Linked DNA regions of Macaca mulatta. The protein of the gene in region 1 purifies or fractionates together with the protein of each later gene. This does not show direct contact. Links are inferred from orthologs where the notes say so. Each region holds a gene or a part of one and is shown on either strand. Other genes may lie near its edges. The genes, in order: MAPK7, PFDN4, VBP1, PFDN6, PFDN5 and PFDN1.

What was found.
Region 2: the proteins of MAPK7 (region 1) and PFDN4 purify together in Homo sapiens (affinity purification with mass spectrometry; 3 studies listed by BioGRID and IntAct, with this or other methods). This does not show direct contact. The link is inferred for Macaca mulatta from reciprocal best matches to the Homo sapiens genes MAPK7 and PFDN4.
Region 3: the proteins of MAPK7 (region 1) and VBP1 purify together in Homo sapiens (affinity purification with mass spectrometry; 3 studies listed by BioGRID and IntAct, with this or other methods). This does not show direct contact. The link is inferred for Macaca mulatta from reciprocal best matches to the Homo sapiens genes MAPK7 and VBP1.
Region 4: the proteins of MAPK7 (region 1) and PFDN6 purify together in Homo sapiens (affinity purification with mass spectrometry; 3 studies listed by BioGRID and IntAct, with this or other methods). This does not show direct contact. The link is inferred for Macaca mulatta from reciprocal best matches to the Homo sapiens genes MAPK7 and PFDN6.
Region 5: the proteins of MAPK7 (region 1) and PFDN5 purify together in Homo sapiens (affinity purification with mass spectrometry; 3 studies listed by BioGRID and IntAct, with this or other methods). This does not show direct contact. The link is inferred for Macaca mulatta from reciprocal best matches to the Homo sapiens genes MAPK7 and PFDN5.
Region 6: the proteins of MAPK7 (region 1) and PFDN1 purify together in Homo sapiens (affinity purification with mass spectrometry; 3 studies listed by BioGRID and IntAct, with this or other methods). This does not show direct contact. The link is inferred for Macaca mulatta from reciprocal best matches to the Homo sapiens genes MAPK7 and PFDN1.

The regions. Positions count from the first base shown.
Region 1 is NC_133421.1:20,590,953-20,595,227, forward strand, and holds the start of MAPK7 (mitogen-activated protein kinase 7), read left to right. Parts: upstream 1-1,475; 5' UTR 1,476-1,816; coding exon 1,817-1,853; intron 1,854-2,053; exon of another isoform or gene 2,054-2,432; intron 2,433-2,600; exon of another isoform or gene 2,601-2,696; coding exon 2,697-2,933; intron 2,934-3,570; coding exon 3,571-3,736; intron 3,737-4,275. UniProt on the Homo sapiens protein: Plays a role in various cellular processes such as proliferation, differentiation and cell survival. The upstream activator of MAPK7 is the MAPK kinase MAP2K5.
Region 2 is NC_133415.1:107,034,852-107,039,145, reverse strand, and holds the start of PFDN4 (prefoldin subunit 4), read right to left. Parts: upstream 2,801-4,294; 5' UTR 2,691-2,800; coding exon 2,667-2,690; intron 1-2,666. UniProt on the Homo sapiens protein: Binds specifically to cytosolic chaperonin (c-CPN) and transfers target proteins to it. Binds to nascent polypeptide chain and promotes folding in an environment in which there are many competing pathways for nonnative proteins.
Region 3 is NC_133426.1:161,513,092-161,516,591, forward strand, and holds part of VBP1 (prefoldin subunit 3), read left to right. Parts: intron 1-690; coding exon 691-815; intron 816-3,500. UniProt on the Homo sapiens protein: Binds specifically to cytosolic chaperonin (c-CPN) and transfers target proteins to it. Binds to nascent polypeptide chain and promotes folding in an environment in which there are many competing pathways for nonnative proteins.
Region 4 is NC_133409.1:148,999,055-149,002,121, forward strand, and holds PFDN6 (prefoldin subunit 6), read right to left. Parts: upstream 1,800-3,067; 5' UTR 1,770-1,799; exon of another isoform or gene 1,557-1,769; 5' UTR 1,542-1,556; coding exon 1,478-1,541; intron 1,251-1,477; coding exon 1,180-1,250; intron 1,099-1,179; coding exon 974-1,098; intron 714-973; coding exon 584-713; 3' UTR 501-583; downstream 1-500. Other genes in the region: WDR46 (WD repeat-containing protein 46), read left to right, coding at 2,219-2,296, 2,394-2,603, 2,707-2,787, 2,931-3,043. UniProt on the Homo sapiens protein: Binds specifically to cytosolic chaperonin (c-CPN) and transfers target proteins to it. Binds to nascent polypeptide chain and promotes folding in an environment in which there are many competing pathways for nonnative proteins.
Region 5 is NC_133416.1:60,439,652-60,443,949, reverse strand, and holds the start of PFDN5 (prefoldin subunit 5), read right to left. Parts: upstream 2,801-4,298; 5' UTR 2,789-2,800; coding exon 2,717-2,788; intron 2,517-2,716; coding exon 2,414-2,516; intron 2,112-2,413; coding exon 2,080-2,111; intron 551-2,079; coding exon 476-550; intron 356-475; coding exon 250-355; intron 1-249. UniProt on the Homo sapiens protein: Binds specifically to cytosolic chaperonin (c-CPN) and transfers target proteins to it. Binds to nascent polypeptide chain and promotes folding in an environment in which there are many competing pathways for nonnative proteins.
Region 6 is NC_133411.1:149,161,822-149,166,068, forward strand, and holds the start of PFDN1 (prefoldin subunit 1), read right to left. Parts: upstream 2,801-4,247; 5' UTR 2,776-2,800; coding exon 2,743-2,775; intron 1-2,742. UniProt on the Homo sapiens protein: Binds specifically to cytosolic chaperonin (c-CPN) and transfers target proteins to it. Binds to nascent polypeptide chain and promotes folding in an environment in which there are many competing pathways for nonnative proteins.

The DNA.
Region 1 (4,275 bases):
TCCACAATGCGCAAGTCCATAGAGACAGAAAGTAGTTCAGAGGTTGCAAGGGCTCAGGTGAAAGAGGAATGAGGAGTGACTGTTAATGGGTATAAACCAAAAATAAAATTAGAATGCCCTTTGCAACCATCTAAATGGACTCCCTCCTTGGCCAGCACACCCTAAAATTTAACCTGAAAGACCAGTTCAGGCCACAGTGGGAGATGGGAGTTGGACATGCCTCATTATACCCCTCCAACATTAACATCAACACAGACCATAAGTCTGATAAGAAACATGTCTATTCTCTCTATAGCTGGCTACTGGTAGGCTTCAACTGCATAATAAAACGTAGGTCTCCCGGCCGGGCGCAGTGGCTCACGCCTGTAATCCTAGCACTTTGGGAGGCCAGGGGAGGGCAGTGGATCACTTGAGGTGAGGAGTTCAAGACCATCCTGGCCAACATGGTAAAACCCCGTCTCTACTAAAATACAAAAAAAAAAAAAAAAAAAGAGCTGGGCTTGGTGGCTCACGCCTGTAATCCCAGCTGCTCTGGAGGCTGAGGCAGAAGAATTGCTTGAATCCAGGAGGGGGAGGTTGCAGCAAGCCAAGATCGTTCCACTGCACTCCAGCCTGGGCAACAGAGCAAGACTCATTCTCAAAATAATAATAATATACTTAAAAAACCCAAAAAACCCTAGGTCTCCACAACCCCTTATCATAATCCAGATATTCCTTTCTATAGATAATAACTCTTGTAACCAACTGCCAATCAGGATATGTTTAAATCTACCTGTGACTTGGAAGCCCCTCCTCTTCGAGTTGTCCTGCCCTTTCAGAATAGACATTGAACAGACATTTCCCCAAAGGAGACAAATGGCCAATAAGCACATAAAATCAATGTCAATCTTGCACGTATTGATTTATGTATTATGTCTTCCTAAAATGTATAAAGGCTGGCTGTGCCCCATCTTGGGCACATGTTGTAGGACTTCTGGAGGCTATGTCACCACCATGTCCTTAACCTTGCTAAAATAAACTTTCTAAATTGACTTGAGACTTGTCTCAGATACTTGGTTCACATAAGTTTCTTTTAGGGGCGATGAAAATGTTCCATAAACCACTCTACCTAAAATTAGGTAGTGCTGATGGCTGCTCAACTGTGAATACACCAAAAAACACTCAATTGTACACTATATATGGTATGTTATTAAAAGTTGTTTAAAAGTGAGGGACCCCTCCAGTTATTGATACGGAATGATCTTCAGGAAAAGAGAATATGTTACATTTTGTACACGAAAGGGAAGGTGGGTACGAATATGTATTTGTATTGCTTTTTTCTATAAGCCGCCTAGGAGTGAAACCAAAATTCTTCACTTCTTTCAGCCCTACCCCGTTCCCTTTAAAAAACCTTTCCTTCCAGCTCACACTATCCACCATATCCATCTTCGCCTCCTGGCACTGAGCCTTAGAGGGGCGGTGCTCCAGAAACATTTGCTACATGAATGAACGAATCAACCATCGGATTTTGGGGTGGGTCGGCGCAGCTCGGTTCCAGCGAGGGCTCCGCCTACCAGCGGGCTCCGCAGAGGGACAGAGGCCGGGCGGCCGCCTCGGTTAACTCCGCTGCAGCCCAAAGCACGGGAAACGCGGGACAAACAAACGAGCGGAGGTAACACACCTGCAGGCCAGGAAACCCCCAGGTGCGGTCCAACTTGGCCGGAACCTGCGGAGAGACTCAGCCACCGGAAGTCAGTGGAGGGTTCGGCCGGCCGCTCTAGAATCCTGGAGGACCGGGATCTCTGTGGTTGGCCGTGACGGGCACCCTCTACCGGGGATGACACATTCCCAGAGCTCCTGGGACCGAGAAAATGGTGGGCACAATTCCCGGGGCGGAGGGGGACTTCGGGACCCAGTAGCCAAGATAACAGTCCCAGTCCCGGGCATCTCAGTCCGGACAGTTGCCCGAGCTCATGGGACTAGCTGTGATTGGCCGGACGAGGTCGAGCGCTAGATGGGGACGCGCGCGCTACGTGCATGGGCGTTGCCTTCCATTCACTTGGCGCCCGACTGCCAGTGCGCATGCGTTTGAAGGCGGTGCCGGGCGGGGAGCACACCCCTGTGAAGTGCCGGGCACCCTTTGGGCGGCTCCCGCCGGCTAGCTGGACAGCGGCGCGCGCCAGGCGTGGCTTCCTCGGCCGGTGGGCTAGGATTGGGCGCAGCAGGTAGAAGGGGCAGGACCCTTCGCAGAAATAGCTCAGCGATTGGCCAGGAGCTGGAGGGAGCGTGGTGTTGGGAGGCGGGGCGGAGGGGGACGGACAGGGCAGCTCACGACGCTGAGGTGGTGGCCGCGGCCCTTGAATAAGTAAGTGAGCCACCCTCGGAGACTCCCGCGCTGGGGACGGGAGGCCGGTGAGCCTCGGGACCTCTGAAAGCCTTGAGGAGGCGCGGGGGTGAGTGCGGCCCGGGGGAAACCCAGGTGCCCCGCCCCTCCCTTTCTTCCTGGCCCGCGCCTCGCCTCCCCATCCCCCGACCCTGGCCTGGCCCCTGCTGGGCCCCGACCCCTGGGGTAGCGTGTTTTCCCCGAACCAACCGCGCGCTTCTGGCCCTTGTCGGTTTAGGGAACTGGGAAGTTCCCTGGTCCTGCTCCCCAGCCCGCAGAGGGGACGCTGAGGCCCACGGGAGGCGGTCCCCTCCTCACCCGAGTCTCCACGCAGACACCATGGCCGAGCCCCTGAAGGAGGAAGACGGCGAGGACGGCTCTGCGGAACCCCCCGGGCCCGTGAAGGCCGAACCCGCCCACACCGCTGCCTCTGTAGCGGCCAAGAACCTGGCCCTGCTTAAAGCCCGCTCCTTCGATGTGACCTTTGACGTGGGCGACGAGTACGAGATCATCGAGACCATAGGCAACGGGGCCTACGGAGTGGTGTCCTCCGCCCGCCGCCGCCTCACCGGTGAGCTTCCTGAGCCGTCGCCTCCCAGATGTGGCAGCGTCGCAGGGAGTGGGAAACCGGCCCGTCCCAGACAGCTGGGAAGGAAAGCGGGGTGCGAGTTCTGGCTCCAGTCAACACACGCTGACCAGGACCCTCTGCCTGCCAGGCTCCGGGGAGGCTCGGTTCTCTGAAACTCTGGCCTGGGGGTTTTGCCATCCTGCCTGCCTACTTCCTCCTTAGAAAAATGACAGTCCCAGTTAGACCAGAATGGAGAGCCATTCCTTCGTGTCTAAGAGACAAATGTGTTCTGGAGCCAGACACTGGCACAAGGAACTGGTGGTGGGATGGGTGAGGTCTGAGATGCAGAGGGTGTAGGCATTAGAGACTGAACTCCACCACTGGGCAGCCGTGCAACCTCCAACAAGTTACTAAGCCATATTTCCTTCTCTTTAACATTGACCTATTGGGACCTGCCCTGTAGGGGAGTTGTGAAGGTCACATTTAATAATGTAGGTAACATGCTTGGCACATAGTAGGTACCCAGTACTTGGTAGCTGTTGTCATTTGCATCCTAGAAGGGAGGTGTTGATAGGGGCTGGGTCGACTCTGCAGTTTCTCCAAGGTATCCTCTGGTGTGTCCCTGTTCCCTGCTCCTCAGGCCAGCAGGTGGCCATCAAGAAGATCCCTAATGCTTTTGATGTGGTGACCAATGCCAAGCGAACCCTCAGGGAGCTGAAGATCCTCAAGCACTTTAAGCACGACAACATCATCGCCATCAAGGACATCCTGAGGCCCACTGTGCCCTATGGCGAATTCAAATCTGTGTAAGAAGCGGGATGGGAGAGGGAGCCAGACTTGGGACTTTTCTGAAGGCTGCACTCATATTGCTGAAGTTCTGGAAGGGCAGCTGAATCTAATCTGAAGCAGGCTGGGAAAATTCCCGCAGTCCTAGGACCAGTTCTCCTTTAGAGTTTTGCCAGGGACAACTGTTATTCCTCAAGAAATGTACAGATGATTTTACAGTTTTATAGAATCTTAGTATGTAGGATGTCAAATGTAGGACATTCCTACTATGACCACACCCTCCTATTCCCATAGCAGACTTCACTAATCAATCACAGAACACTTTCCTACAGACAGTGGACAAGCCTGATCAATTTTCATCATAGTTCTTCAAGCTGCCACTACCAAACAATGGAGATAGCCCCAAAAGGAAACCTATTGGCCAGCCCTGGTGTAGTCCAACCCCATCTTTTATCTGATGGGGAAACTAGGTCTGGAGACAAAAGTGATTTAACCAAGTTCATGGAAAAGTCGTAGAGAATCTAAAACGTGATGCTCTTCTTCCATACCATGCCGTCAG
Region 2 (4,294 bases), on another chromosome or scaffold:
CGAGATAATGTTCGATGGTGACAAACGTGATGATGAAAATACAATAGCTTAGGAGAAGAAAGTTTTGGGGGCCTGGGGAGTGAAGGAGGCTTCTTTAGATAAAGGTCAAAGGTAGCCTCTCTGAGGAAAGAACATTTGTATGTAGGATAATCAACAGAAATCAAAGTGCAGATCTCCTTATGGTCAAGAACTGGATCTTAGAAGGCAGAACTTTAGAGATGAGAGTACTGAATCATCTCATCTAAACATTCTCCCCAGCAAAATCATGACCAGTTGAGAGATAACGATGTGTTACAAATGTAAAGTACTCCAGATTGTACATGATTTGCTTTTCATTAAACTCAAAGGGCTCTCTCTCTCTGTCTCACTCTCACTCACTGGCATACATGTTTGTTTTCTCCCATTGAGGGCAAAGGGGAAAAGCGTACATGTAAGATAATCTATCGGGAATTGTTCATAACACTGGAAACATCTACAGGAGGACATTACATCTATCATGTGACTCTCAAAGGCTTCAAAGTTAACGAAGATCTTTTATATTTTGGCCACCACCTACCCTTCTACAAGTTCTTTTCCCATCATGGCTCAAACTTTCTTCCCCTGATTATCTGCCATCAGGCCTTCCTTGTATTAAATGTACTCAGAGTCTCTGCAGATACTCCTCTCTAGAATGCTTCATTCTCTATCCAACTCTCCCTTTCTTTCCTTACATAATCTCACAGATCTCAACTTAAATGGCACTTTCCCAGGAAAGCCTTCTCTGATCTCAAAACAGACCTCATTTTGGCCCTCATTTCGTAAGTACTTTTCCTTCACAGTTCTCACCAGAGAAACTAGTTTTCTGTGTGACTATGTGAGTAATGCCTGCCTCTGTCCTGGAACATACGTTCTTTGGGGCTATAAGAATAAGGGGAGAAGAACTTCCTCACTGGTCACCGCAGTTGTCTCCACTTAAAACTGAGACTATGCCATATTACATGCCCCCAAAAATTTACTGAATCAATGAAAGGGGGAAAACAAAAGTTGATAATTAGAAATTTTGCAATCAAAATCCAGGGTTCAAATCATTCTTCTGCCATTTCCTCTTTGACCATTTACTTCACCTCTCTGCACTTCAGTTTCCATACCTATAAAACGGAGTGAACCACAACTAGTATCTTTCAAGGAATTAAAGGCCATACCTAACACCAGAGGGCCCAATTTCACAAACTAGAGGTGAAGTGAATCTCACCAAGTTTCATACTGTTTTGAATCACCATGGCCCTGGACCCTACTCTGGGACTCAGTAAGAATTTTTGGATGGCAGAATAGTAGGGTGAGCAACACATCTTGAGTTAGCTGGGGCGTTCCCAGTTTTGGCAGTCCCTCAATTTCATATAAAACGGGGCAATGGGTCACCCTACACCAGGCACAGATGGCATAGACTATGTGGTACTGGATGGGGGTAAAGCAAAGGAAGTTCTAATGTGGTCTTAAAAGTGGAATGAATGCAAATCCCGCCAGCCAAGAGATTCTCATGGAAGACCCCCTATAGCAGTTTAAAACTCAGACTCCGGAGTCAGAATGCCTGTGTTTAAATGCTAGCTTTGCCTCCGTGCCTGTTTTCTCATTTGTTAAATAAGGATAAAAACAGTATCTCCCCTAAAGTACATAAGATAAACAATACACCCAAAAAAAAAAAAAGTACAGCTATACCTAGCACACTGTAAAGCTCCCCAAATTGTCAGTCGTTATTTCCTTCCCCCTCTCCACTTTTCTTTTTCTTCTGTCTAGCTATCTTTACACATCTGGGAAGCCACGGATTTATAAACCCGACATGGAAGTTTAGCCTGCTTAGTGGTTACATAGGTGTGCTTTGAGAAAAACCAAACCAAACCTGAGTTCGAACTCCAGCTCAGCTTCTTACTAGCTGAGTCACTTTGGGGCCCCTAACTGCTCTGTGTCTAAGTTTCTCTACCTGCAAAGTGGGGAGGAACCCATTGCACTTGCTGAGCTGCGGGGAGGATAACGGATAAAGGGCCGGCTGCTGGGCCGGCAGATCGTCCGTCTTCAATAAATACTGGTTTTAGCCTGGAGGACTCAGGGGCATAGAGCGTGGACATGGGCAGCTCCGGGTTGGACACGGGGGCTCTTGGGCCTGATAATCCGGGGATGCAGGAACCTGCTGTCCCCCTTATGAGCTGCGTAACCTGAGGCAGGTGACTTCCCATCTCTGGGCCTCAGTTTCCTCACCCGTAACCACGGTCCCAGCAGCAGCTACCCATAACCAATGAGGCTAATGCGATCATGCCGGTGCAACGCCCGAGTCAAGGCCAACCACACTCAACGAGACCTTCGACTTCCCACACCTTAGGGGCAAGGCTGGGGCTGCAGATTCCTCAGACTCCCCGGGGGCACCCTCGGCATCGCGGGAGGCGGCCCAGGGCCCTCGGAGGCTCCCGGCCCCAGCCCCGGCTCCCCGCCTCGGCTGGCCAGGTGCCTAGGAAAACGCTCAGGGCGCCAGGCGCGGGCAGGCCTTGCCGCGGGGCCGCTCTCAGGGCCTCGGCCTCGGCCTCGGGTCCCACGCCGGGCTTCGGAGCTGCGCACCCCCAGCATCCCGCGCCCCAACCCCCGCGGCCGAGATTCGGCGCCACCCGCGCATCCAGAGCCCCGAGCGCCCCACTCACCGCCTTCTTCATGGTGGCCGCCATCTTGGGACTGGACTACGGCACGCGGCGGGGAGGGCCGCAATGGCGCGCTTCGTCCTCGAGCGTTCTCTCGCTCCCGGTCGGCCCAGAACTCCCCGCAGAAATACAACACTGTCTCCACATTCCCTCCTCTTGGACTTTTGGCTAATGATTCCAAACGGCTGGGACGTAGGGAGGAAATGTGACCTGGAAAGACTTGGTACATGCCAATTAAAGGGACAGGCAACCCCCGTGGGCCGACATAAACACGGGGGTGTGGCGAACGGCTCCGGCTGCGGGCAGCAGGGTGCGCGTCCCAGGGTACGCGTCCCTCAGCGTGGCGGGGACCAGCTGGGGCAGGATCAAAGGGGAGGCTGGGGGAATTTTTCTGCATCCGTCCCACAGACTTGCATTGAGAAAGCTGACCTCCCTGTAAAAGAGCTAGGAACGAATGGCCTTGGCAAATAGGGTGTGAGACTTACGTGCCATGATAATTCAGGTGGTGTAAAGGAGGAGGCGCTCCTATCTTTTAATGTAATTTTTTTAAAAATTTAGATTCAGGGGGTAGGTGTGCAGGTTTATTACACGGATATATTGCATAGCGCTAAGGTTTGGGTTTCTAATGATCCCGTTGCCCAAGTAGTGAACATAGTACTCCCTAGGTAATTTTTCAACACCTTTCCCCTGCCTCCTTCCCCGTGTTTGGAATCCCTAGCATTTGTTGTTCCCATCTTTATGTCCATGATTACCCAGTGTTTAGCTCTCACTCGTAAGTGGGAACATGAGTGGTTGATTTTCTGTTCTTTGTTAATTCACTTGGGATAATGATGTCCAGCTGCATCCATGTTGCTGCAAAGAACATGATTTTGTTCTTTCTTATGGCTGCATAGTATTCCATGGTGTATATGGACCACGTTTTCTTTATCCTATCCACTACTGATGGGCACCTGGGTTGATTCCATGCCTTTGCTGTTGTGAATAGGCAATCCTATTGATTAATTTACAGCAATATTACTGAACAGTTACTGTATATTCTGACACTTGTATCTCCCAATTAGTAATTTTTTTTTTTTTTTTTTTTTTTTTGGCCTTAGGATCTCTTTGTACTCCTAGAAATTATTGAGGACTCCAGAGAATTTTTATGTGGGTTATTTATCGATATTTGCTGTATTAGAAATTAAAGCAGAATTTTAAAAATGTAGTTATTAATTCATTTAAAATAATATAAAACTCCATTCCATGGTAATAAAAATCACACTTTAAAAATACCTATATTTTCTAAGACAAAAACAAATTGAGAAGACTGTCATCGTTTTACATTTTCACTGATGTCTTTAATATCAGGCTTAATGGAAGGTTAGATTCTCATGTGTACTTCTGCATTCAGTCTCTCCAAATATACTGTTTAGTTGTCTAGTTGTAGGTATGAAAAACCCCAGCCTCACACAAATCATGCAGTTGGGAAAGGGAGGCCCTCATGGATGCCTGAAAAGGTCTCAGGGACTCCCGACGTTCATGGACCACAGCTTGAGAACTGCCCCTGACAAGCCACCTCCTTTCTCAAAGTCCCAATTTCCTCTTTGGTTCAATGAGGGGAATGAGACCTTACAGCACCTTGTGCTCTCCCC
Region 3 (3,500 bases), on another chromosome or scaffold:
GTGGATTGCCTTGGGAACCCAGTAACCATATTTAGTATGATTTCTATGGCAAAACTTGTTGAATTAAAAATAAGTAATAAAATTGATAATCTTGACATACAACCTGTAAAATCATTTTGTGAATAGGATGCATGAATAGGCAATGTATTTGATTGTTAGTATTTTCATATTTACTACTAGGGATGCATGGGAAATGCATAAATGGTGGGCAAAGTCATTCTTCTTTTCCTATTTATAAATAAAAAATGAAGAGGAAAGTGAAAGAATAAGTTAGCTATATAATATATATATACGGTCTGAAATTGTCTCTAACTTTTTATAACTACAAGTTGAGCATCCTAAATCTGAAAATCTGAAATCCAGAATGCTCTAAAATCCAAAACTTTTTGAACACCAATATAATGCTCAAAGGAAATGCTCATTGGAGCATGTTTGACTTTGGATGTTTGGCTTGGGGATGCTCAACTGGTATAATGTAAATATTCCAAAATCAAAAAAAAAAATCTAAAATCCAAAACAATTCTGGTCCCAGGCATTTTAGATAAGGATGCTTAACCTGTACTTTTAGTTAAAAACAAACCTTTGGAGGAAAAGCTGTTTTTCTTTTATGTTTTAAAAACAAAGCAGTCAAAAAATCTGATGAGTGGCATGAATTCTAAAATTTGTAAAGTATTATTTCTGATATTAAAGGAAGATGTAGATTCCTTCATGAAACAGCCTGGGAATGAGACTGCAGATACAGTATTAAAGAAGTTGGATGAACAGTACCAGAAGTATAAGTTTATGGAACTCAACCTTGCTCAAAAGAAAAGAAGGTAAGTGTAAAACTTTCTAAGTTTTGAAAATCGTATATGGCTTGAACTTTAAAAAAATTGAGATATAATTTACATATGATAAAATATTCAGATATCAAGTCCTCCAAGGTGGCTGTACCATATGAAATTCCCACCAGCAATGTACAAGAGTTCCAGTTCCATATCCTTGCCAACACTTGGTATTGCCAGTCTAAATGTGGTTTTGAAAACATAATAGAATGGTTATTAAAGACTGTATTCCAAAGCTTTCAAAATCATAACATCTTATATGTCTAGTTTATCCTTCTAATTTTGCCAACAAGATTAGAGACCCACAGGGTCTGGGGCACAAGACTTAATTAGTTATGAAATCCCAAGATTTCATAACTAATAGGCATAGGAAAAAAGGTATCCTTACTCTCAACTCTTTATTTCCCTACATAATTTTATATAGCTTATAAAGTCAATTCACTGTAATAAATATTTGTAGATCTCTGTTTTGTACATGTGCCAGCATTCTTCTGTGAGATAAATATTTATGGAATGCCAGCTAGATGCCACATACTGTTTTGGGTGAAATAACATCCAGTATCTGCTTTCAACAAGGACACAGGACTGGGCATGGTGGCTCAAACCTGTAATTCCAGCACTTTGGGAGGCTGAGGTGGGAGGATCTCTTGAGTCCAGGAGTTCAAGACTAGCCTGGGCAACTTAGGGAGACCCTGTCTCTACAAATAATTAAAAAATAATTAGGCTGGGCGCGGTGGCTTGTGCCTGTAATCCCAGCACTTTGGGAGGCTGAAGTGGGCGGATTGCCTGAGCTCAGGAGTTTGAAACCACCCTGGGCAACATGGTGAAACCCCCGTCTCTACTAAAATACAAAAAAATTAGCCGGGCATGGTGGCACGGGCTTGTAATCCCAGCTACTCGGGAGGCTGAGTTGGGAGAATCCCTTGAGCCCGGGAGGTGGAGGTTGCAGTGAGCCGAGATTGCGCCACTGCACTCCATCTTGGGCAACAGAGTGAGACACTGTCTCAAAAAAAATAATAATAATAATAATTAGCTGGGTATGGTGGCATGCACCTGTGGTCACAGCTACTCTGGAGGCTAAGGTGGGAGGATCACCTGAACCCAGGACGTTGAGGCTGCAGTGAGATGTGATCATGCCCCTGCACTCCAGCCTGGGCAACAGTGCGAGATCCAGTCTAAAAAGCAAACAAACCACACAAAAAACCAGGGACACAGGTTGGGGGGAAATTATAGGTATATAAATAAAATTAGCACACAAAGTAGAGCAGTGGAGGTACTTCGGTACAAAGTAATGAGTTACAGGGGATGGTAACTCATTACTTTGTACCAAAACACCTCATTAATCTGGAGGGGCCAAGGAGGTTCAGAGGAAGCTTCTAAGAGGAACAGATACCTGTGTAGAATTTCAAAGATTAGTTATGAGTTTGGAGGCAGACTAAAGTGAGGAAGGGTGGTCTGGGCATAAGGCACCATTTATGCAAAGGTACAGAAGTTTGTAGATGTATTTTCTCATTTGATTTTGGTGACAGTTGTAGAAATTTGAATATGTACTTTGTATTAGATGAGATGAAAAGTCATTGACATGGAAAGATGGAGGGTGTAAATGGACAGAAGCAAGATAGAAATCATTAAGAACAGTATACTCTTATTTTGGAAAAAAATGTATATATGCACAGGAGTATCTAGAGAAGTCCACACTAAAGGCATATTAACAGTGGTAATCTCTGGGTAGTTAGAATATGGCATTTTTCTTGTTTTTGCTTATCTGTATTCTTAATTTTTTACAATGTACATGTACTGCTTTTGTGATAGTAAAAGTTTATTTGAAAAAGAAAAAGCCATTGGATTTGAGATCATCTACAGGGAGGTTACAGATAGAGAAGAAAATGTGCCTTGGGGTGGGGTGCAGTGGTTCATGCCTGTAATCCCAGCACTTTGGGAGGCTGAGGTGGGCAGATCACTTGAGCCCAGGAGTTCAAGACCAGTGTGGACAACGTGGCAAAACCCTATATCTACAAAAATTAGCTAGGTGTGGTGGTGCATGCCTATAGTTCCAGCTACTAGGGAAGCTGAGGTGAGAGTATTGCTTAAGCCAGGGAGGTTGAGGCTGCAGTCAGCTGTGAGTGTGCCACTGCACTCCAGCCTGGGCAACAGAGTGATACCCTGTCTCAAGATAAAAAAAAAAAAAAAAAGGAAAAGAAAATGAGCCTTGGTACCGAGTCCTGGGAGAGAGGGAAATTTGTGTATCAAAGTTACATTGCTCTTCTAACTAGTAAATTAATGATAGACGAAAAAAAAAAAAAAGAAAAAAGTTATATTGCTAACTCTACAACTGTGGTATATAGCAGGATACTCACTCTAGCTTAACATATGGTCTAGGCCTAAATGTGGGGAGAAGGGGTAAAAATTCGAAGCACTGAGGAAGCATCAGTGAACATTGGTGTTCTGGATGAGAACAGTGTTTGTCTAGTGTTTTAAAAGAGAATGGTAGAGTTGGAGATAGTGAGTTAGGAAAACTTTCTTGAGTTTTACCTATTTTAATAGTGGGTTGGTTATTTTTTTGAGACAGGCTTTCTCTCTGTTGCCCAGGCCAGAGTGCAGTGGTATGATCACAGCTCACTGTAGCCTTGACCTCCTGAGTTCAAGCAGTTCTTCCACCTCAGCCTCCCAAGTAGT
Region 4 (3,067 bases), on another chromosome or scaffold:
GACAAGGAAATGGCAGAACAACTTTATGGACAACATATAAACTTGGGAGGACTTATACACTACAAAGCATTACGTGCTGGGATTTTAAGTCAGTTTAAGCTACATTCAAGCAAATTCTAGGAAGACAGAGGCTGAAAAGTACCAATAGAGATGCCAGGGCTGCTGGCAAAGAGGGTAACCACATTTCATCCTGGGGCCTCAGGTTAGAGAACTGTGAATTCTTTTTCAATTGAACTGACATTCCTAGTAATACGCTATGTTGTAAATGCCCTTCCAAAATAATCATGCCAACCAAGATGAGGGAAAGTTAAGGGTTGTATATACAGGCAAGAAGTAGGTTTGAGGACATTTAGGATTTCACTTTCAAGAAAGAAAGAACATCGTGCCACAAAGAAGTTCCAAGTGCAAGAGTTTGAACCTGAGGGGGTAATACAGGTGGTGTGTGTGAAGGTGGAAGGGACTGTGGGGATATGACAGAAGCGCCTGGTCAGGAAACGGAGCCAGGTGTTTTTACATTTTATTAGCTACAGTATAGATGCTAGAGCTGCCTCATTCCCTCCCCTCCCCTCCCCCCACCAAGGGGTCAGGCCTTGCCAGGAGCCCCTGCCTTTGCCGCCTGGGCCCGCTGGAACTCCTGCTGCAGCTGAGCAAGGGTCTCCCTCTGTTGCTCTGACTGCCGCTCAAGATCCCGGAGCTGGGATTCATATCGCTTACTAAAGAGAGACAAGGGAGACAAGTAGAAAGGGAGAAATTAGTAGGACTTACTAAGGAGGGTGCTAAACGCAAGAAAGAGATAGGTGGAAAACTTGAGATTAGGGAAGGGAGAAGGGGGGTTAAAAGGGAAGGAAGGGGTTGGAGGAACTGGAGGACTAGGGGCCACTATGGAGAGCTGTTCTGCAATGGTTCAACACCTCTACTCCAATGGTTCACTGCATCACAGGGTGCAGCACACAGTGGTGGAATAAAGACTCACATTTCAGCTGTGATATAGTCCAGCCTCTTCCCTACTGTGGCCCGAGCCTCCCCCAGCTCCTGTTTGACTAGCACCGGACCCAGAAGTTTAAAGACCACGTTGGACCCATCCAGCAGGGCCAGTTCCTGATGGAGGGATGGGACATACGTGATCAGAACCATGGCTAGTACAGGTCCCTCCTCGCCCCACAAATCCCAGTCCCTCACCTCTTTCACGATATTATTTTCTGTTAGTTGTGCTTCAAGTTTCTGCCTCCCCGACATGGATTTACTCAAGTCTGGGGATAAGAGGAAAGGCAAGATTAGAAACATCAATCCTAGTCAGGTGGATATGGATCTGAGGAAGCAGAAAAAGATGGGGGCAGCGGGTCAGTGAATAGGGAAGAGTACTGAAGCGGGAAAGTCTCTGCACGCAAGGGCCCAGATGGGGCAACAAACCTTATCTCGGTAATGGCTTTGGGTTGTGAGTGCATTGGGCGAGGCCATACCGACCCTGCTCCCTTACCCTTCTGTAGCTGTTGATATTTCTCCACTTCTCCCTGCAGCTTCTTCTGGATCAGCTCCGCCATGGCGGGGATGAAAGCCTACGGGGAGCGAGACAAGGGCGCTGCGTCTCACTCTCTGGAAGGTACCTGAGCTCACTTTTCTGATCTCGCCTGCGGAAATGATAGCACTCTTGAGAGGCAGCCCTGAGGGGCACCGCCACCTCCCCCCGGTCCTGGGTATCGACTCCACCCCGTCCCCAGGATATGGTGGGCGAAACGCAAGACCGTAAGCCTCTCAACCGAAATCCTAACCTATTCACGTTCTGCTTTCAGTAGTAATAAACCCGGAAGTAAACGAGGAATGCCGGGAAAAGACTGCGCCGGAAGTTTCTTTCTGACCCTTGATGGGAAGTGTAGTTCTGACATGTTTAGCGAATGGAGTTCTGCTACAAAGACTGGACTCGGATATTTTTAGGCAAGATGGGGAAACTAACCCGGAAAAAGAAACCGCACCGCTACTTAGCCCCTGGTCCCGGGCCTGCCTTTCTTTTGTAAGTCACTCTTGCATAAGCTGCCGCTCCCGATAAGGTGCCAAGAGCTCTTCCGCCCCTCTAAGGAGAGTGTGCCCTCACTCAAGATGGCGCCTAGAGAGCTTCAGACCTGGTACGCTACTGATTGGATGAAGGATAGAGGGCTTCCGGGAGTTTTCAAGCCGACTGTGGGGCAGCTGAGAGGAGTTTTGCACGTGGATCGCCGTTCGGATGGGCGAGATGGAGACAGCCCCCAAGCCGGGCAGGGATGTCCCGCCCAAGAAAGACAAACTTCAGACCAAGAGAAAGGTATCGGCCTCCCTGGGTGGGAAAGGAAGTTTTTTGCTGCGGGGTCGGGGGGGCGGGGCGTGGGTGCGGAGTATCAGAGTTCCTGATCTGCTTGTAGAAACCGCGGCGATACTGGGAGGAAGAGACTGTTCCGACCACAGACGGAGCCTCTCCAGGGCCTCCTTGTAACAAGAAGAATCGGGAGCTCCGTCCTCAGAGACCAAAAAATGCTCACATATTAAAGAAGTCTCGGATCTCTAAGCAGCCTCAGGTCCCGAAGAAACCCCGAGAGTGGAAGAACCCGGAGTCCCAGCGGAGCTTGTCCGGGGTGAACGTGGAACCTAATGGGTGGCGAGGCAGGCCGCCTTGTGCTTTGAAAGGGTTGGGGTCAACCCAAGGCTGTCTACTAACTGCGTTCTCCTTTCCCCTAGGCCCAAGATCCATTCCCAGGCCCCGCCCCCGTCCCTGTGGAGGTGGTCCAGAAGTTCTGTCGTATTGACAAATCCCGAAAGGTGAGGTCCAGCCGGAGAGTTGGGAAGTGTTGGAGGCAGGGAGTGTCTGGGTGAGTTGAATGGAGGCTGGGCTAGGTAGCTCTCCTGTGACCCCACTTATCCTATGGTTCTTCTGCCACTCCTCCCCACCAACAATGTTATAGCTACCACGTTCTAAAGCCAAAACTCGAAGCCGACTTGAGGTGGCTGAAGCTGAGGAAGAGGAAACAAGTATCAAAGCTGCTCGTTCTGAGCTGCTGCTTGCTGAGGAACCGGGGTGAGTGGGCCCTAATCTGGACCC
Region 5 (4,298 bases), on another chromosome or scaffold:
CATTCCATCCTCATTAAAAAGGAGCTCCACCAAAGCACAAAAATGATTTCCTTCCTCTAAATTTCTCAAACACTCAACCCAGGAATCTACAGATAGTGATTATGCAATACACAGATTCTAAAGATTCCAAAGAGAAACTAAGACGTAGTTTTACTCCAGCAAAGGGGACACCCCCGTGGTTCACTCTGCAATCCACGTTCTTTATCATGGAGATAGACAGGGTCAAGAGGTGCCCCAGGAAAAACTTACCCTGTTTCATGGCGTGCTTTTCCTGAAGAGCTGGTTGGATTTTCTCCATCTGTTTGGTTAGAAAATCTATCTTCCTCTTGAAAAAGTCCTTGGCATCCTCAGCTGTCTACAAGATCAGAGGTGAATGAGGGGCTAAAAGGAGACTCCCTCTGGCCATGTTGCACTCTAGAACTTCCCCTAAATTTCCCTTCCCTGTTCAGAGGGGCATCCACATGCTCTCACTCACCTTCTCTACATAGTACCCAGTTCCCACATCGATGAGCACATGTTCCACATCATGCAGCTTCCCAGGGACATACATCTGAGAAGCAAGTATTAAGGCAAAAACTAGCCCAGCATGAGCCATGATTCCGCCAGCCAGCCTGCTTGGCCTCCAAAGACCCTTTTCCAAAAAGCTTCAAGGCATAAGGACTGAATAATCTGGAGGCCTTAGAACAATAACTCCAAATGGAAAGAAGACTGAGAAGTTGGTTCTTTAAGGAGAAAATGATGTATGCTGGAACACCCTTTTGTTCTGCCTCATCCCATCTCTCACCCTCTAAGCAGTTCTTGCAATTCTTCTCATTAGCCCCATCAGAAAGACTAGATATAATGTTTTCCTACTGTTGTAGAGTACTACAAGTGGAAAGCCAGCCTCATTTCCCTTAACACCCTCAATCATGAAGTAGATAATTCCTACCGAAGTTCTTTTTTTGTTTGTTTGTTGAGACAGAGTCTCGCTCTGTTGCCCAGGCTGGAGTGCAGTGGCGCGCTATTGGCTCACTGCAACCTCCGCCTCCCGGGTTAAAGTGATTCTTCTGTCTCAGCCTCCGGAGTGGTTGGGATCACAAGTGTGTGCCACCACGCCCGGCTAATTTTTGTATATTTAGTAGAGACGGGGATTCACCATGTTGGCCAGACTGATCTTGAACTCCTGACCTCAGGTGATCTGCCAGCCTTGGCTCCCAAAGTGCTGGGGATTACAGGCGTGAGCAACCGTGCCTGGCTAATTTTTTTTTTTAACCATTCCCTACTACACTACTATTCCTGTGCTCCTTTTAGCCTGTCAGTTCTCAGACTACAGATTAAAGGTGCCCTACTGCCATAACTTGTTCATTCAAGTAAAACACTGAACAAGTGGACACAATCCAGGTTTCTTAGTGACAGTTTAGAAATGAGCCACAATTAACAGAGCCAACCTCCCTGTTCCTATATCCTCCTATTTTTGTCTATTACCTGTATCTTCTAAGATATTAGCAAAGTGTAAACCACCAGCTTTATCTCCATATTAATGTTCTCAAATAGCAAAGGGAAATATTACATCTCAACTATACATACTCCTTGGTGTTCACAAGGCATTAGCTGGATGTTGGTGTGAAGTTAGATAAAAGAGCTACAAAGTGTGTAATAAGAGTACTCTTGGCCGGGGGCAGTGGCTCACGCCTGTAATCCTAGCACTTTGGGAGGCCAAGGCAGGCAGATCACGAGGTCAGGAGTTCGAGACTAGCCTGGCCAATATGGTGAAACTCCATCTCTACTAATAATACAAAAATTAGCCAGTCGTGGTGGCGCGTGCCTGCGGTCCCAGCTACTCAGGAGACTGAGGCAGAAGAATCTCTTGAACCCAGGAGGCGGAGGTTACAGTGAGCCGAGATCGCACCACTGCACTCCAGTCTGGGCGACAGAGCAAGATTCCGTCTTTAAAAAAAAAAAAGGGTGTTATCAAAATCATTGTGGGGAGAGGATAATCTGAAGTACTGAAGTAATCAAAACAATCCCCCTCCCTGCTTTTTGGAGGAGTGAGGGAGAAAGGGAGAAGGCAGCAGGTAGCCGTTCCTGTGGAAAGGATACAGAACTCGTCAGTGGGACAAGTAATTCTTTCCCTGTGAAAGCAATGAAGACAAACACCTGGGGAAGGTTAGTGGCTCCAATGTAAGACGTTAAAGAGAGTTCCAAGAGGGCACAGCACCCACAGACAGTGTGAAAAGAACGGAAACAGGGGCAATAGAAGCAGAGGAACGTCCTGTACATTTCAATTCTAGGTAGGCAACATGCAAAGGGTTCATGAAGCGGTATACGATATGTAATGGATTTTCTCGTTTCAGGTAAGAAAAACTGGATTAGGAGGTGGGACGAGAGAAGCAGGCTTGCCACTTTAGGTTGCCCTCACCCCCCTACCCCATACCCTCGTTGCTCTTGTTCAGCACGTTCAGACAGTCCTTGGCTTCCACATACTTGGTCTGTACCACTTTGAGCTGGGCAATGGACGTGGACAAGAACTCCACTTCCTACAGAGAACGGGTATAGCGGGTCAATGAGAGGGCTATGGGGAAAAGGGAGAGCGGCCGGGGAGGGGGCGGGTCCTGGGACCGGATAGAGGTTTCGCCTGGGCAAGGTAGGCTCCCAACTTGGGACCGGGCGCAAGGAAGTACGCGTGGGCAGGGGGGATGTAGAGCGGGAAAGAGGTGCCTATGGGGCCCGTCACTACCTGGTCCAGCTGGTTCTTGAGCATTTCTAGCTGCGGCAGATTCAGCTCCGTGATGTTAATAGACTGCGCCATGTTGGGAAGGAGGACTAACGAAGAGGAAGTCCCTCGGCGAGCAACGCTCTAGCCGTCCTCTGCGCGTCTCGATGGCGCCAGGAGGCCTCGCTGCGCCATACAGCTCTATGATCCTCCGTCCCGGAAGGGAAGGAGGGGCTTGAATTTCTCAGAGGCTGATCTGTCAGTTATTTTCATAAAATATTCTAAGCCTAGTACAGTAAAGTAGCAGCAAACAGGACTCCTGCCCATAGGGAACTGCAAAATCTTAAAGTTCTCACGATACAACCACGATATTACAAAGTAGTGTATGCTACTCCACGTGGGTGGTATAAGCTACTAGATAGCAGGCTGGGTTGCTATGGTGACGGCTCCTGGGGCCTCGTCCTGCCCCTCTCTACCCCACCTGCTTGTGCTGCCTGCTGGTACCCCGCCAGGTCCGATTTCAAATATTCCTCCCCGCACAGCAGGGAAATTCTTTATATTTTATTTTATTTTTTTTTTTGAGACGGAGTCTGGCTCTGTCGCCCGGGCTGGAGTGCAGTGGCCGGATCTCAGCTCACTGCAAGCTCCGCCCCCCGGGTTTACGCCATTCTCCTGCCTCAGCCTCCCGAGTAGCTGGGACTACAGGCGCCCGCCGCCTCGCCCGGCTAGTTTTTTGTATTTTTTAGTAGAGATGGGGTTTCACCGTGTTCGCCAGGATGGTCTCGATCTCCTGACCTAGTGATCCGCCCGTCTCGGCCTCCCAAAGTGCTGGGATTACAGGCTTGAGCCACCGCGCCCGGCCATGGCAGGGAAATTCTAAACTATTTTTCCCAGATGGCCTCTGAGGCCGAAAGGCAGGGAAAAAAAAACAAATAACAACAACAAAAAAATCCCTTGTCAGACCGTTCTGAATTGTTCTTGAAAAAAATCAGGCATGGCCGGGCGCGGTGGCTCAAGCCTGTAATCCCAGCACTTTGGGAGGCCGAGACGGGCGGATCATGAGGTCAGGAGATCGAGACCATCCTGGCTAACACGGTGAAACCCCGTCTCTACTAAAAAATACAAAAAACTAGCCGGGCGAAGTGGCGGGCGCCTGTAGTCCCAGCTACTTGGGAGGCTGAGGCAGGAGAATGGCGTGTACCCGGGAGGCGGAGCTTGCAGTGAGCTGAGATCCGGCCACTGCACTCCAGCCTGGGCGACAGAGCATGACTCCGTCTCAAAAAAAAAAAAAAAAATCAGGCATTAGATTGAAAGCTTGTTGAAGGCAGGAACCAACCATGTTCTCATCACTGAACTAATTCTTCCCCTCTGGCTATGACCATCTTCCCCCAGCCGGAAGTAGGCTGACACCTAGTAGGATCTGAAAAAGGGTTTATAACCCGTTGCCAGTGAGTTGGTGGGAGAACAGCAAGGAAGCACCATTGTCAACACATAGAGCACAAATTAATCAATAAAATGTTTTGGCCAGGCATGGTGGCTCATTCCTGCAATCCCAGCACTTTGGGAGGCCGAGAAGGGCAGATCACTTGAGCCCAGGAGTTTGAGG
Region 6 (4,247 bases), on another chromosome or scaffold:
AAAAACAAGTCCATGATTTAGTAGGTTAAACATTTTACAGGAAACATTTATGTCAAATCCAAATATATTAAAACAAAACATGCTAGCCAGAGACAAAGTTGTGAAATTTACCAAATATCAATAAGTCAACATAATTGTAAACGATCAAGTCACTATACTAAATACTGAATTTACAATCATCAGAAGATACAAACAGTGTGAAGCAAAACAAATGCACATTAAATAATAACCATATTAAGAAGTATTCAAGGAGTAGTAAAAGAAATAAACGCAATAGTCAAGGATGAAACCCAGAGATTCAAAACAAGAACCATAAAAGTAATAACTCACTACATTTGTATTGCACAATTAGGTTTCAAAGCACTTTCTCACATTAGTTTGAAATATTAATATGGGAATATTAATATAAGAATATTAATGAGGAAATATAATATCTAATTTATGCCTCTCAATAATGCCATGAGTTAGCATTGGCAGTTTCATCATCCACAATTTACAAATTAAGTAACTAAATGAGTTAAGAGATAAAAGTGGCTTGCACAAGTTTGAACAACTATTAGAGGGAAAGGGAGGTGTATTTAAAGACATTTCTTCTAACCCCTTAGTTTAGCAATCTTTCCATTCCACTGTCTATAGTAATATTCATAATATGAACATTTTTAAGAGGAAGACCAAAAAGATAGAAAAAATGCAAAGCACTGGCAAAATAATTGCATCAGGCCAAATTTGACCCTTGCGTACACTTAGTTAACTGGAAAATAAACAGTTCTTGGATACTCTTGTTGAAGTGCCTGGAATGACTTTCATATGCTGTCAAATTGGTGCCTTAATAATTTGTGACTGCAATGTACAGCAAAGGTTACTACATAATTTTTATTGTGACCTTGTTTTCACCTACTAGTAAGATTTTGAAAGATTTACTTTGGAGAAGGGGAGGGGCCTGAAATGTCCTATTTGTCTCCACCCAAAAAACGGACCCTGTAACAACATTAGAAGATAAAACCTTTAAACAAGTTTTTAAATTAATCATTTGTCAAAATTATTCAGTTTAAGTTTGTAATCATTTTCTTAGTTTGCATTCACTGTCCACATTTTTCAAATGTAGCAACAAATTCAAAAGTACCAGGAGGAAAATCCATTCACTAAACCCTGATTTAAATCGGTACTTTTAATTTAAAAAAAGGTAAATTTTTAGAATGCACAATTTTGTTTTGAAATGTAAAATTTCAGGTATTATCTGACTGCTCTGTACAGCTTGCTAAGGAAGCTAGTATACCGTTAAAGATGAGCTAGTACACCGTTAAAGATGAGGGAATTCCACCTAAGAGCTAAATTTACAAGATTCAAGACAAGAACAAAAGCAAGACACAAACACATAATATCCTCAGAACCATAACAAAAGCTTCATTTGTTAGAAGCAACAGCTATTTCGGCTGTCCTATTTCTTTTGCACAAGTTGACCAGAGAGACAGTCTTAACTAAGATGTTGCTCATCTGAAGAATCCAAAATAGTGGTCAAAAAAGTGTGAGGTAGCCGGGCGCGGTGGCTTACGCCTGTAATCCCAACACTTTGGGAAGCCGAGGCGGGCAGATCACGAGGTCAGGAGATCGAGACCATCCTGGCTAACACGGTGAAACCCCGTCTCTACCAAAAATACAAAAAATTAGCCGGGCGAGGTGGCGGGCGCCTGTAGTCCCAGCTACTCTGGAGGCTGAAGCAGGAGAATGGCATGAACCCGGGAGGCGGAGCTTGCAGTGAGCCGAGATCGCGCCACTGCACTCCAGCCTGCGCCACTAGCGAGACTCTGTCTCAAAAAAAAAAAAAAAACAAAAAAGGTGTGAGGTAAGACAGAGAATACTGGATTCTAGTCCCAACCTCTGACAGACTCTTCTAGCACTGGTTCCTTTTCTAGAAAAGTAGATTTAAAATAGATAAATTCTAGAGTCCTTTCCAATCCACCCCACCGCACAAAGCATACTGGTTTGGGGTCATTAGTGGTGTTAGAATGCTGATCATTCTTAGACAGCAAAAATATGAGTAACAACACATTATAAGCAACTGAGGAAAGCAGGAAACCCAATTCCTTCTGATACCGGTTTTATTTGGAAAACTTTACTGGTTTTGTTGTTTTTTTGACAAGTCCTTCAAAAGAAGGTTTTGTTTTGTTTGTTTTTTTTTTTTTTTTTTTTTTTTTTTTGACAAGTCCTTAAAAAGAAGGGGAGGGCCCAAATCTTGAAATGAACATTGCTGTTACAATGCCTGGTTTTCCGAACTGTAGATACCGCAACCTTTCAAGGTATAGAACCGAATAAACGGCCTAAAAACAAAGGTTGGACTTGGAGTTTTTCAAAGCAAATGAGGCAGAATTACGGATGCCACAACTCAGGCAAGGGGTCCGAAGGCACCCCCATTTGAAATGCTCTCTTTGGTTCTTACTATGAAAGTGAGTCCCTGAAGCCTCCAAACGCAACGAAAGCTCTCTAGAGCTCAGAAAGACTGCACAGGCCCGAGATAGGCCCGCAGACTTACCTCACCCAAACCGGCTCCTACCCAGCAAGAGCCGCTCGCCCCCCACCCCAGTTTACGGAGACGCAGTGCGGCCTTAGGACTCTGGAAAACCATTCCCTAGTCCACTGGACCCTCCTTCCTTATGCAAGGCTCGTGCCTCACTCGATATTCTTGCCTATAGTCCCCTCAGCCTCCAAAGAGAAGGCCTCCGCCTGCCCAAGACCCTCTTTTACCTTCTTCAACTCAAGATCCACGGGGGCAGCCATGTTGGTGTATGCGCCTGCGCAGTGGGAGTTGGCCTGAAAGAGGGTGGGGGAAGGGCGCGCCTCACTTTGTGCATCCGTCCTTCTTCTGCGCCTGCGCATGAGTTGGACTAACCGGGCTTCCTACCTTTCTATGAGAATTGATTAACCCCTGAAATATTTGGGTTTCGGATTCAGTGTCTCCACTATCTGACCGGTCAGGTCTGGCTTGCTCCTCCACATCTTCCAGACATAGCCCAACGCGCAGATTTCCCATGTGGCTTTAAGCAGTTTGCCAGCTAGCTTAGTATATGCTGCTAAACTGGGATGTATGTAGATGAGGTCAAACCCTCATCAGTCGATCAGAATCCTTCAGCTAGTCGCTGTGCTGTCAGGGATCAGTAAGAATAAGTCCAGAACCTCAGGCATGACAGTTTGGGAAAGACTACCGGAAAGCTTGTCTGGAGTGTTCTTTCCAAGACGAACTTACTACTTCCAAAAGCTTCCCAAAGACTTTCTAGGCACAGTGGTTCAAAAGAGAGGCTGAATACGTTTGTTTAAAAAAAAAAAAAATGCAGGTTCTCTGGGTCTCATCTCAAACTTACTCAGAATCTTTGAGAATGGGGTCTGGAAATTTGCACTTTTGCAAACTCTCCCAGTGAGCTAATGGTGCAACTCCTCTGCGGATCACTTTTTTGAGAATCTCTGCCATAAAAGGACCTGGCATTTGAACCAGAAGAATAGATAATAATTGACTTTTGGAAATGGAAAAAAAGAAATGTTTACCTACTCTAAAAACTGTTATGCTAAGAGAAAGTGCTACATAAACAATTAGGAAATTTATTTTATTTTTTTTTTAAAAAGAGAGTGAAAGAAAGAAAGAAAAAGAAAGAGAAAGAGAGAGAAACAAAACAAACTGTTAGGGAGATGAAAGGGCAGGGAATTTGGAACCAGCCTGATCCAGATTCAAGGCTTGGTCCACCTTTAGCTTATGTCTGGTTCCATTTACTAATTGTGTGACTTTGAGCAAGTCACTTGGATATTTTGTGGTTTTGGTTTTTTGTTTTGTTTTTTGGTACGTTTGCTTGTTTGTTTGTTTTTTGAGACAGGATCTTGCTTTGTCACCCAGGCTAGAGTGCGGTGGTGCAATCGCCGCTCACTCCAGCCTCTACCTCCCGTGCTCAAGCAATCCTCCCACCTCAGCCTCCTGAGTAGCTGGGACTGCAGGCACGCGCCACCCACACCCAGCTAATTTTTGGATTTTTCGTAGAGACAGGTTTTCACCTTGTTGCCGAAGCTAGTCTCAAACTCCTGAGCTCAAACAATTCGCTCGCCTTGGTCGCCCAAAGTGCTGTAGTGCTGTGATTACAGGCTTGAGCCACCGCGCCCGGCCCTTTTTTTTTTTTTTTTTTTTTTTTTTTTTTTTTTTTTTTTTTTTTTAGCCAGGGTCTCGCTCTGTCACCCAGGCTGGAATGCAGTGGCACGATCTCGGCTCA